2 linked regions of the Coturnix japonica genome follow. The protein of the gene in region 1 purifies or fractionates together with the protein of each later gene. This does not show direct contact. Links are inferred from orthologs where the notes say so. Each region holds a gene or a part of one and is shown on either strand. Other genes may lie near its edges.

Region 1 (4,307 bases):
GCACACAGCTGTGGTCACCATTTCTTAATCAGCTCAGCTGATGTCCTATAGAAGGTCTCAATGGAGGAACGCAGCTGCGGCCCATAACTCTTGGCTTGATCTTCCATGGTTTGACTGAAAAGAACATCAATGCACTGAAGCTTTTCTCCATTAAACTGGTTCTTTCAGATCCAGCACTGGGTTCACACAGCAAGAAAAAAAAGAAAGTTTCTTTCCCAGTACACTTAGTTGGGGGTGTAAAAGGGTTTGTGATATATACTGCACACTGAGGTGTGCCAGAAGAAATAAATGGAGTGTGTTATTTAGCAGTTCCAATTTGCCTGCAGATGTGCTTTTTTTCCCTTAGTTAAGCAGCCTTTTGAAAACACATCTCTGTATTGTGACCACACATTTGTCACCACCACCGTGTTACACCAGATACATTTCAAATGTGCTCATAACAACTTCGAGCCCTCACATCCACGTATTCCAATGTTCTTCTTCACCTGAAAACGCAGCTGAACCACACAGCAAAGCAGTGGGACAAGGAAAGGGCCTCAGTAACAGCCCATGTTGTGCTGCTGCTTTCTCAGGGAGCTTCCAAAAAGGGCAGCATAGCAATGGAGCTGCCCGACTGCAGGAACTTGCCTTGTGAGCTTCCTTTTGAAGCATCCCTTCCACCCAAGTCTGCTGGCTTCAAACCCATCTTTGTCGTGCACTGGAGGTGTAACAGTTAACATCAGCTCATTACTGTCAGCTAATTAACAACACTTAGCACAAAGCAGCCAAGTTTTCTTTGTTTCTACCTATGGTACTAAATCACTTTGCAACAGCATGGGGGGGGGGGTAGAGGGAGATCCTTCAAAAGCAGCAGAAAACAGTGCAATAAAGAGCATTTAATTTGCATTGTGCTCAGTATGCTGCAATAGGAACCACTCGCTGCAGACATACCACAAACTTGCTTTAGACCACGGAGGAATCACTCCTTGATGACGCTCAGAACTCAGCCTGGGTTTCTGCCTCCTGTCCCTCAGTGCAGGGGCTGTTTGTGCTGTGGGGCCATAAATGCCAGTGGTGGCAAAGCTGTGCACGGCTCAGCAGCATCACCAGAGCCATCTTTGATCTCAGAAGTGGAGAGTGGCAGCGGTGCACACAAGCAGGAAGAAACAAGCAGCACATTCTGGTTTATGCGTTGGATGTTAGGAATATACCGATTTCCCACTTAAATATACATATGTATTGAAATTGCTTAGCGCAGCTCATGTGCTCCAGAGCAATTGTTCATTAAGGGCTTCGTGCTAACGAGGATGGTGTTCCACTGAAGGGAGCCGTGGGGGGTTCGTGCTGCCCAGCTCAGCTCTGCTGCTTGTGCTGAAGCGCTCAGGGAAGGTGCAGAGTTCACACACAGAGCAATTAACACAAGAGACCAGAGCGGCTCTGGAGGTTTCAATCCCCACAATAGGGAGGGGAAAAAAAACCCAACCACCCCCAGAGCCCCAACCCAAAGCACTGATGGAACATTCAGGGTGAAAACCACAGCGGCGCTGCACCAAAGTTCTCACAGAACTCTCAGCATTGAGCTCCCAGGCAGCAAGTCCTTCACAGCACAACAAGCTCAAAGCTGTTACTATGGGACTCACCTTTTTCTCCCATTTAATCTCAATGGCGTTACGGGTGAGATTTCTCAAACCACTGATCTCAGCATCTCTCTGTTCCTTTCTATCGAGCAGCTTGAAGACAGAAGCCCTGAGTTCTGCTCTGACTCAGGGCAGCTCCAGAAACCTTCACTACTTCCTCAAACCAAAAGTGCACGTGAAAGAATTTGTGTCTGCACATCTTGTGCGACAGAAGCCGAATCCTCAAGCAGTTCCATCTCCAGCTGATCTGAATGTGAAGCTCCTCTGATGGTGAGAACACAGCTACGCTAAACTTCGTGACTCCTAGCAGAGGTCCTAAGACATAAATTGATATCAAAGCAGAGGGGAGAGGAGGACAGAGGGGGAAGGACTCAGCACTACCGAAAGAAGCCCTGAAGCTGATTAAAATAAGACCTTACAAGATGGATTCTGTAACACGGCGCTTCTGCCACCACCGAAGTACTTGTAGCTCCTCTGTAAGTGCTGAGAACCAACCAACCATTTAAAGGAAGCAGCCAGCAACGAAGTGCATTTTAGCAAGGAAGGAAGCAAAGTCAGCGGCCAGACACGGCCAGGGAAGGACAACAAGCAAGTTATGGACCCCAAACGTGAGATGACGAGGAGCTGCAGCAGGAGCCGCTCCGAGCTGCCACCCCCGAGCGGCACCAACGGCCCCGGCTGAGCGGGACTTTGTTCTCCCGGGAGCTGCTGAGCACATCGCGGGGCTCAGCCCGGCGTGTCGGCAGCTCCGCAACCGCTGCAACGACCTTTAACTCTAAAGCAACGACGTGTGGATGCGCAACAGCTGAATAAAGCCCCGATTACAACGCGCTGCTGCTGGATAAAGAGCATCAACTGGGAACAAACACAACTTGTGCAACAGCAAAAGGCCCCGAACGCGGCGCTGTCAGAACCGCCCTCACACGAAGGGACACGCGGGGAAACGAGTGTCCGAGCGCTGCGGTACCGGCAACAGCGCAGCGAGCCCGGCCCAGGGCCCGGAACCGACCCGACCCGACGGGCAGCAGCTCCGAGGCGGGGAACGGAGCCTCAGCGGGACCGAACTGAGCCGGGATCTTGGCGGCCCCGACCCCGCGGGCCCAGCGAGACGGCCGGCAACACGAGGCAACGCCGCCCCCCTACACCCCATATCCCCCATATCTCCCATATCCCCACATCCCCCCATACACCCCTCACCCCCCCCACTCTCTCCCCGGGCCCCCACACACAAAGTTCTTCTGTTCCCGTTCCTGTCCGCTCTAGTTCCCCCCCTGTCACACCAAAAGGCCTCTCGCCCCCCGGCCGGTTCCTGCCCTCATTCCCGGTTCCCCACAGCAGGTAACCCCCCCCCGTTGCCCCCCCCGCCGTGTTCCGGCCCGTCCCGCAGTTCCCGCCCCCCGCAGCGCATCGGGCACCGTGTGTGGGTCGGACCCTCCCACAGCCCCGTGGTTCCCCCCCCCCCCCCCCCCTCCCTTTATTTACCGCCATCACCGACACGAGCTGTCACCGCCGGGAGACCCCGCCGCGCCGCGGGACACGCCCCCTCCCCGCCCATTGGCCGCCCGCCGCGCCCCGCCCCTCACCGCCATTGGTCGGAGGGCGCGCCACACAACGCGCTCGCCCCGCCCCCCTCCCCGTTCCCCATTCACTTCCACCGCCTACGCCAATTCCGTAACCGTCTCTGGAGCTAACGGCGCTAAAGGCGCTCGAGTGGACGCTGTTTGCGTAGCTAGCGCCGTAGTAATCGGAGGTCTGGCGGAGCTTACGAGCTTTGCGCAGCCGCTAGGGGGCGCTCCTGAACGGCTCACGGTTGCGTAGCGGGAGGCAGCGTTAAGGGGCGGGGAGCGGCTGGGCCCGGCCCCGGGCGGTGACGTAGCGGGCTTTGTGAATCCCGGCTGAAGTTGAGGGTCAATAGGGATGGAGCAGACAAAGGGATCTTAAAGGGGCAGCGCGGCGATAACGGGGCCATGGGGGGGGGGGGGGGGGGGGGGGGGGGCAGTGAGGTCTGCAGGGATCCCAGCATGTTTTACATCTTTAAGACCAACCTTAGGGAATGAGTAAAGCGTCACAATGTTCAGCGTCACTAAAATGGTCATTGAAAGGAAACTCTTTGTTTTTAACCTTATTAAAAAGTGAAACAACTGAAATCGCGACCCAACCAAATCCAGGGTTTGTTTTTACAGCCACAGCCCGAAACCAGCACCTGGAAACCAACAGGCACAGTGCAGTCAATGCACATGGACCCCACCGGGAGCTGCAGGAACTCGGCACACGATTCCTCGTGCAGTTCCCTCATGGTGATGCTGCCATTGATGACGGCTCAGCAACCGGCTCCTCCCAGAGCTGCTGACATCACAGTTATTCAGTGCCTTGTTCTGGCTGCAGAGCTGCTCTTTGGACGGACCCCGACCTGCAGCTGCTGCACATTGAGCTCCACGAGTCCCTTCACCTGATCCCTGCTACCGGCACCTGCTGCTGCTTGCGGATCTTGTTGAACAGCTCCATGTACTGAACCATCGTGTCCGCGGGGCTGTAGACGCTGTCGTGTTTGGTGCCAAACACAGTCGGGATGCCGGGAGTGTGGCTGCCCATGAAGCTCTGCATGAACTCCATCAGCAGGTTCCAGCAGTCGTTGGCGATCACACAGGGGCAATACTCCACCTGGCAACAAAAAACAGCCCTAAATGAGAT
Region 2 (4,397 bases), on another chromosome or scaffold:
CACATGCTACTTCGAATGCACTGAAATACAGGAGCTTATTTTAAACTACAAATAGAAAGCCCCAATATCTCTATTCAACATAGCCATTTCATATCTACCCTACAGGCTGATGTTGCAGGAGGAGGTATTTCTTTATACATTTCAGTTCTTCCATTGTGTTATCTTCAGGGCCATATTTAATTAGACTGGTAATAAATGATTTTGCCACCATGACCGCTGAGAATGTGAAGAACACCCTGACTGGAAAAACTGTATGAATAGTCTAGTCTGCAGTAGTATCCCTCTCATTACAGCTTCCAACAGAGGCAAAACACACAAAATCTAAAAAAAAAAAAAGAAGAGGGAATCACTATACTCACAACATTATTGTAAAATTAATTAAAGTAAAACAAAAGCCCTTTTTCTTCTTCAGCTACAGGATAAAATAAGATTATGGAACATAAATATTCCTTTCCAAAATTATCTTACTCAATACATTAGAGGAATGCTGGCCTCTCTATAAGACAGTATGTTCTTGATGAAGTATAATTTACATAGAAATTTATGAGAGATTTAAAGAGACTTTCATAAACAAATGAATCAATTCCACAGACTGCCAAACAGGAGCACCCACTAGAAAATGCTGCCATCCTAATCTCCATTTGCTGATAGATGTTAACAGGAGAGGCCAGCATTGGGAAAGGAAACTACAGAGCAACACATAAATATAGCAGACAACATCATTGGTATACACGCTCCCTGCTGAAAAAAATGCAAGTGGGTAAACTCCAGCTTCTAGTCATGTTTTATAAACTTGACATATCTTTTATCTAAGCATTTGAGACACTTGGATTTTAACAGCATCAAGTTTTAGATTATACAGTGTCTTCAGAAAAACCAAGCAGAGCTTCTCCAGCTTACTCATCTGCCCAAGCTAAACTCTAGGGAGCAGTAAGATCTGCTACACAGTATGCTATAGCAACTCTACTACTGTGGCAAGTGTAAGACGTAGATGAGTCTTACATCAATACACATCAGCAATTATTCAAATATCCCCACTTCAGCCTTGCAGGACATCTTGACCATTTAGCATTTTTCAAGATAGAGTTGATAACTTAAAAATTCATTCAGATGTATAATACCTGCCCCAAAGATATTTAAATTCTGAATAAATAAAAATACCTTCAACTCATGGTAATTTATTGCTCTATCTTTGTCTGTATCAAACAACTCGAAGGCATCTTTAATTTCTTGTTTCTGTTCCTCAGTCAGTTCTCTTCTCTTCTTCTTTTTAGTTTTGTCTGCTGAAAGCTCACTCCTACATGACAAGAGGGAAATTCAATACAACTGATTAATACTGGAAAGACACCATTTTCCCACCAATAATAATAATAATAGCACAAGTTCATTGCCATCCCCATTCAGCTTCTTCCCAACTTGATCTCCCAGTTTGAAGTAATACCTGAAACAGGCAATTCCTTTGCACAGGTTGAATGGCTTCTCTACTCCTCTGCCCAGCAGAGGTGATCTAGTTAATAAACAATCAATCAATCAAAATTAGAAAAATCTACCAGTTAAAAAGAATACTTGAGGTTGCAGTTACAAGATAGACTGCAGCTGACATGGTACAACTCTAGAAGACACCTTATTTCTAAACTGTAGTGAAACTAGAAAGTTTTAGGAGACAGCTAGAGCTTTAGTTAGGCATTTAGTCCAGCTGCTGAAGTGAGTGTTAAGTGCCATAAATCTTTGGATTTTTTGCCAGTAGAGTTTCATTGATGCCAAATATTTATGGATTTTTAAAAATATTATCATATACATAATAAACCAGATACGTTTTTGCTCTGTTGCTCATACATACAAAACAGTCAAGTCCCCTAAAAAGGCTGAAAGCACACTCTTGGGATATGCAGACATAAAGGTCTGCAATCAACAGCACAACAAACCTGCAGCAATGAGCACAGCTCCTTTGGTGCTAAATCCTACCATTCTGCAGTTGTGCACCTGCACCCAAAGTACTGCATTGAATTGGGGTGCCCCAGTACAACAGATGCAGAGAAGATGGCTAAAATAAAGGGGACTGTGATCAGTACCTAGGTGGCTGCAGCATCTGGTTAAGGAGGAGCTGAAGGAGATGCGTTTGTTTCAATCCAGGTGTGTTGGCAAAAGGACCCTGTGTGGGAAGGCTAAGGCACTGTCTAGAGGATTAGACAAGGCAGACAGGCAAGTCCCCATCAGAGATGCATAGCAACAAGAGTCAGCTACAAGCAGTAAAAGCAGAAGGTGGTAGCAGACCTAGAAGGTCTACCACTGCCACAGTGCAAGTGGTTATGCAGCAGAATAGCTCCACTGGGAGATCACAGGATCTCAGCTGTTAGTAGTGTTGGGAAAGGCCCTCAACCTCCACCTCTGAGCAGAGCTGGACAAGATAACTTTCACAATATCTTCCAAACCTAGGCTGCTGTGCAATTCAAAATGATCTCAGGAAACCCTTTATATTCACTTACCTGCAGCACTGACAAAACACATGTAGTACCACTTACTGCACAGTGCATGGTAGTCACTTATGTGTGAACGGAGAACTGCTTTCCAAAGGTGCTTACTCCCCACACCCCGTAACCAGCTCTTTTTTCTTCCCCCTCACTGAAGATTATCTAATTCTAATTGACATCGGAGATTAACCACGCAGCTGAGATTTATCTGTCACCAACCAATGACCGGCACCGGGCAGACTCCAGAGATAGACACGAGAAGCACATGCCGGCTCTGTTACCTCACCGTGCCCCGGCCGCCGCTTCGGGAAGGCCCCACACGACTGTGCCGGACCAGCAGCTGGGACGCGGACAGCCGAGAGGAATCTACTTACAGCTCTGAATGCAGATTAACGCCGACACAAACACGGCGGTGACGAGGCCCGGCCGCCCCGTAGGAACACCTCCTCCCCACCACTGTGCCGCCCCGCAGCCCGACCTGCTGGCCGGTCGCACACGTACCTCAAGGACAAGCTCATACTACCGCCACTGCCGCGTCCCAACGCGCCGACTTCCCCGTGGAAACGACAAGCCACGCCCCCCCCGCCTCATTTCACCGTCTGATTGGTTATCAGCCAGATCTGCTCCCGCCTTCTCGACGCGTTCATAGGTTATCGCGCTGCCACTCAAGTAGAAGGGAGCGTTCCGTGTGGGTCAGCTTAAGTTGTGTCGCTGTGGGAGGGGCGGGGCTTACTGTGGAGGCCGTCAGTGCGGTGACGGCGGCGCCATCTTGGGAGTGAGCGTGGATATGGCGTGTTTCTCCACACGCAGGGCAGCGCTGAAGCTGCCGCCCTTTGCAGGCTGAGGGTTGGCTCTGGTAGGATGTGTCCTGTGTCACCCTTGAGAAACGTCAGCAGTGACATGGTTGTGCACAGTCAGTGTATGGGAACAGCTTCTGAAAGTCAGCACTTATCAGTCAGCGCAAGTCTTATTAAAAAACACATCAAAGACTACGTATGAAGTATTCTGATACTTATTTCAAGTGTAAGAATTGGATAATGATCTGATCTAGCAGCACGGAATGTGATTAGGTACCTGTAGGTGCCTAATAGTCATATGTGAAAGACAGAACTGTTTCTCTTTGTTTCAAAGCTTGCTCTGTGAGGCCTTTCTGGTGATAAGACTCTTAACTGACAACTGCTAATTATCTCTAGGGGGATGAATGGTGGGTGTCACCATGCCACTGTACCTCTGCTTATGATTGTAAAGATAAGCAGAAGTGGGACAAGCAGTCTCTTTCAGGGGTGCAGCATGAAAGAGCTGACCACTGCAAAAGGCGATAATGCTTGTGCATGACAACAAACATACCACCCCCTGCTGTCTTATCTGTTGGGTCAGGAATGTCACACTGACTGAGAGAAAAGAAAAAAAGAAAAAAAAAAAAGAAAAAACAAACAAACAAAAAAAAAAAAAACACCACAGAAATAGTGGATAAAAGGCCCTCACTAAACTGGGGACTTTGGAGACAAACCCCCAAAGACACCTTTGATGGAGAATTCCCTGAGGGGAAGACCTCTTTGGAAGAACCACCCCCCGCTTGCTGTGGAGCTTCCTGGCTTTCTCCCATCCCATTTCTAGGACTTATAATAAACTGGTTGGACCAACATTTGAACCATTGTTTCTTAATCTCACGCCAGGTATACATATGTCAAAGTACCTCTCCTTCCTCCTATAAATTGGAGCAAGATGTGTAGCTCATCTCTCATTTTTCTGGCTGCCAGGAAGCTTACTGGTTGCCTAAAGCCAGCTGTCAAGTATTTATGTGTTCCACGGACAAGAAAAATACACCTATGACTCTGATCTACAAGAAGGGTTGTAAGGAGGATCCAGGGAACTATAGACCCATCAGACAGACCCTGGAGCTAGGAAAGGTTACTGGTCTTGAGT

The links.
Region 2: the proteins of USP49 (region 1) and CETN3 purify together in Homo sapiens (affinity purification with mass spectrometry; 4 studies listed by BioGRID and IntAct, with this or other methods). This does not show direct contact. The link is inferred for Coturnix japonica from reciprocal best matches to the Homo sapiens genes USP49 and CETN3.

What each region holds. Positions count from the first base shown.
Region 1 is NC_029541.1:4,731,045-4,735,351, forward strand, and holds the start of USP49 (ubiquitin carboxyl-terminal hydrolase 49), read right to left. Parts: upstream 3,104-4,307; 5' UTR 3,099-3,103; intron 2,759-3,098; exon of another isoform or gene 1,620-2,758; intron 1,612-1,619; exon of another isoform or gene 1-1,611. Other genes in the region: MED20 (mediator of RNA polymerase II transcription subunit 20), read right to left, coding at 3,104-3,274, 4,080-4,277. UniProt on the Homo sapiens protein: Deubiquitinase that plays a role in several cellular processes including transcriptional regulation, cell cycle progression or innate immunity.
Region 2 is NC_029547.1:53,318,122-53,322,518, reverse strand, and holds the start of CETN3 (centrin-3), read right to left. Parts: upstream 3,101-4,397; 5' UTR 2,990-3,100; coding exon 2,973-2,989; intron 1,298-2,972; coding exon 1,162-1,297; intron 1-1,161. UniProt on the Homo sapiens protein: Plays a fundamental role in microtubule-organizing center structure and function. As a component of the TREX-2 complex, involved in the export of mRNAs to the cytoplasm through the nuclear pores.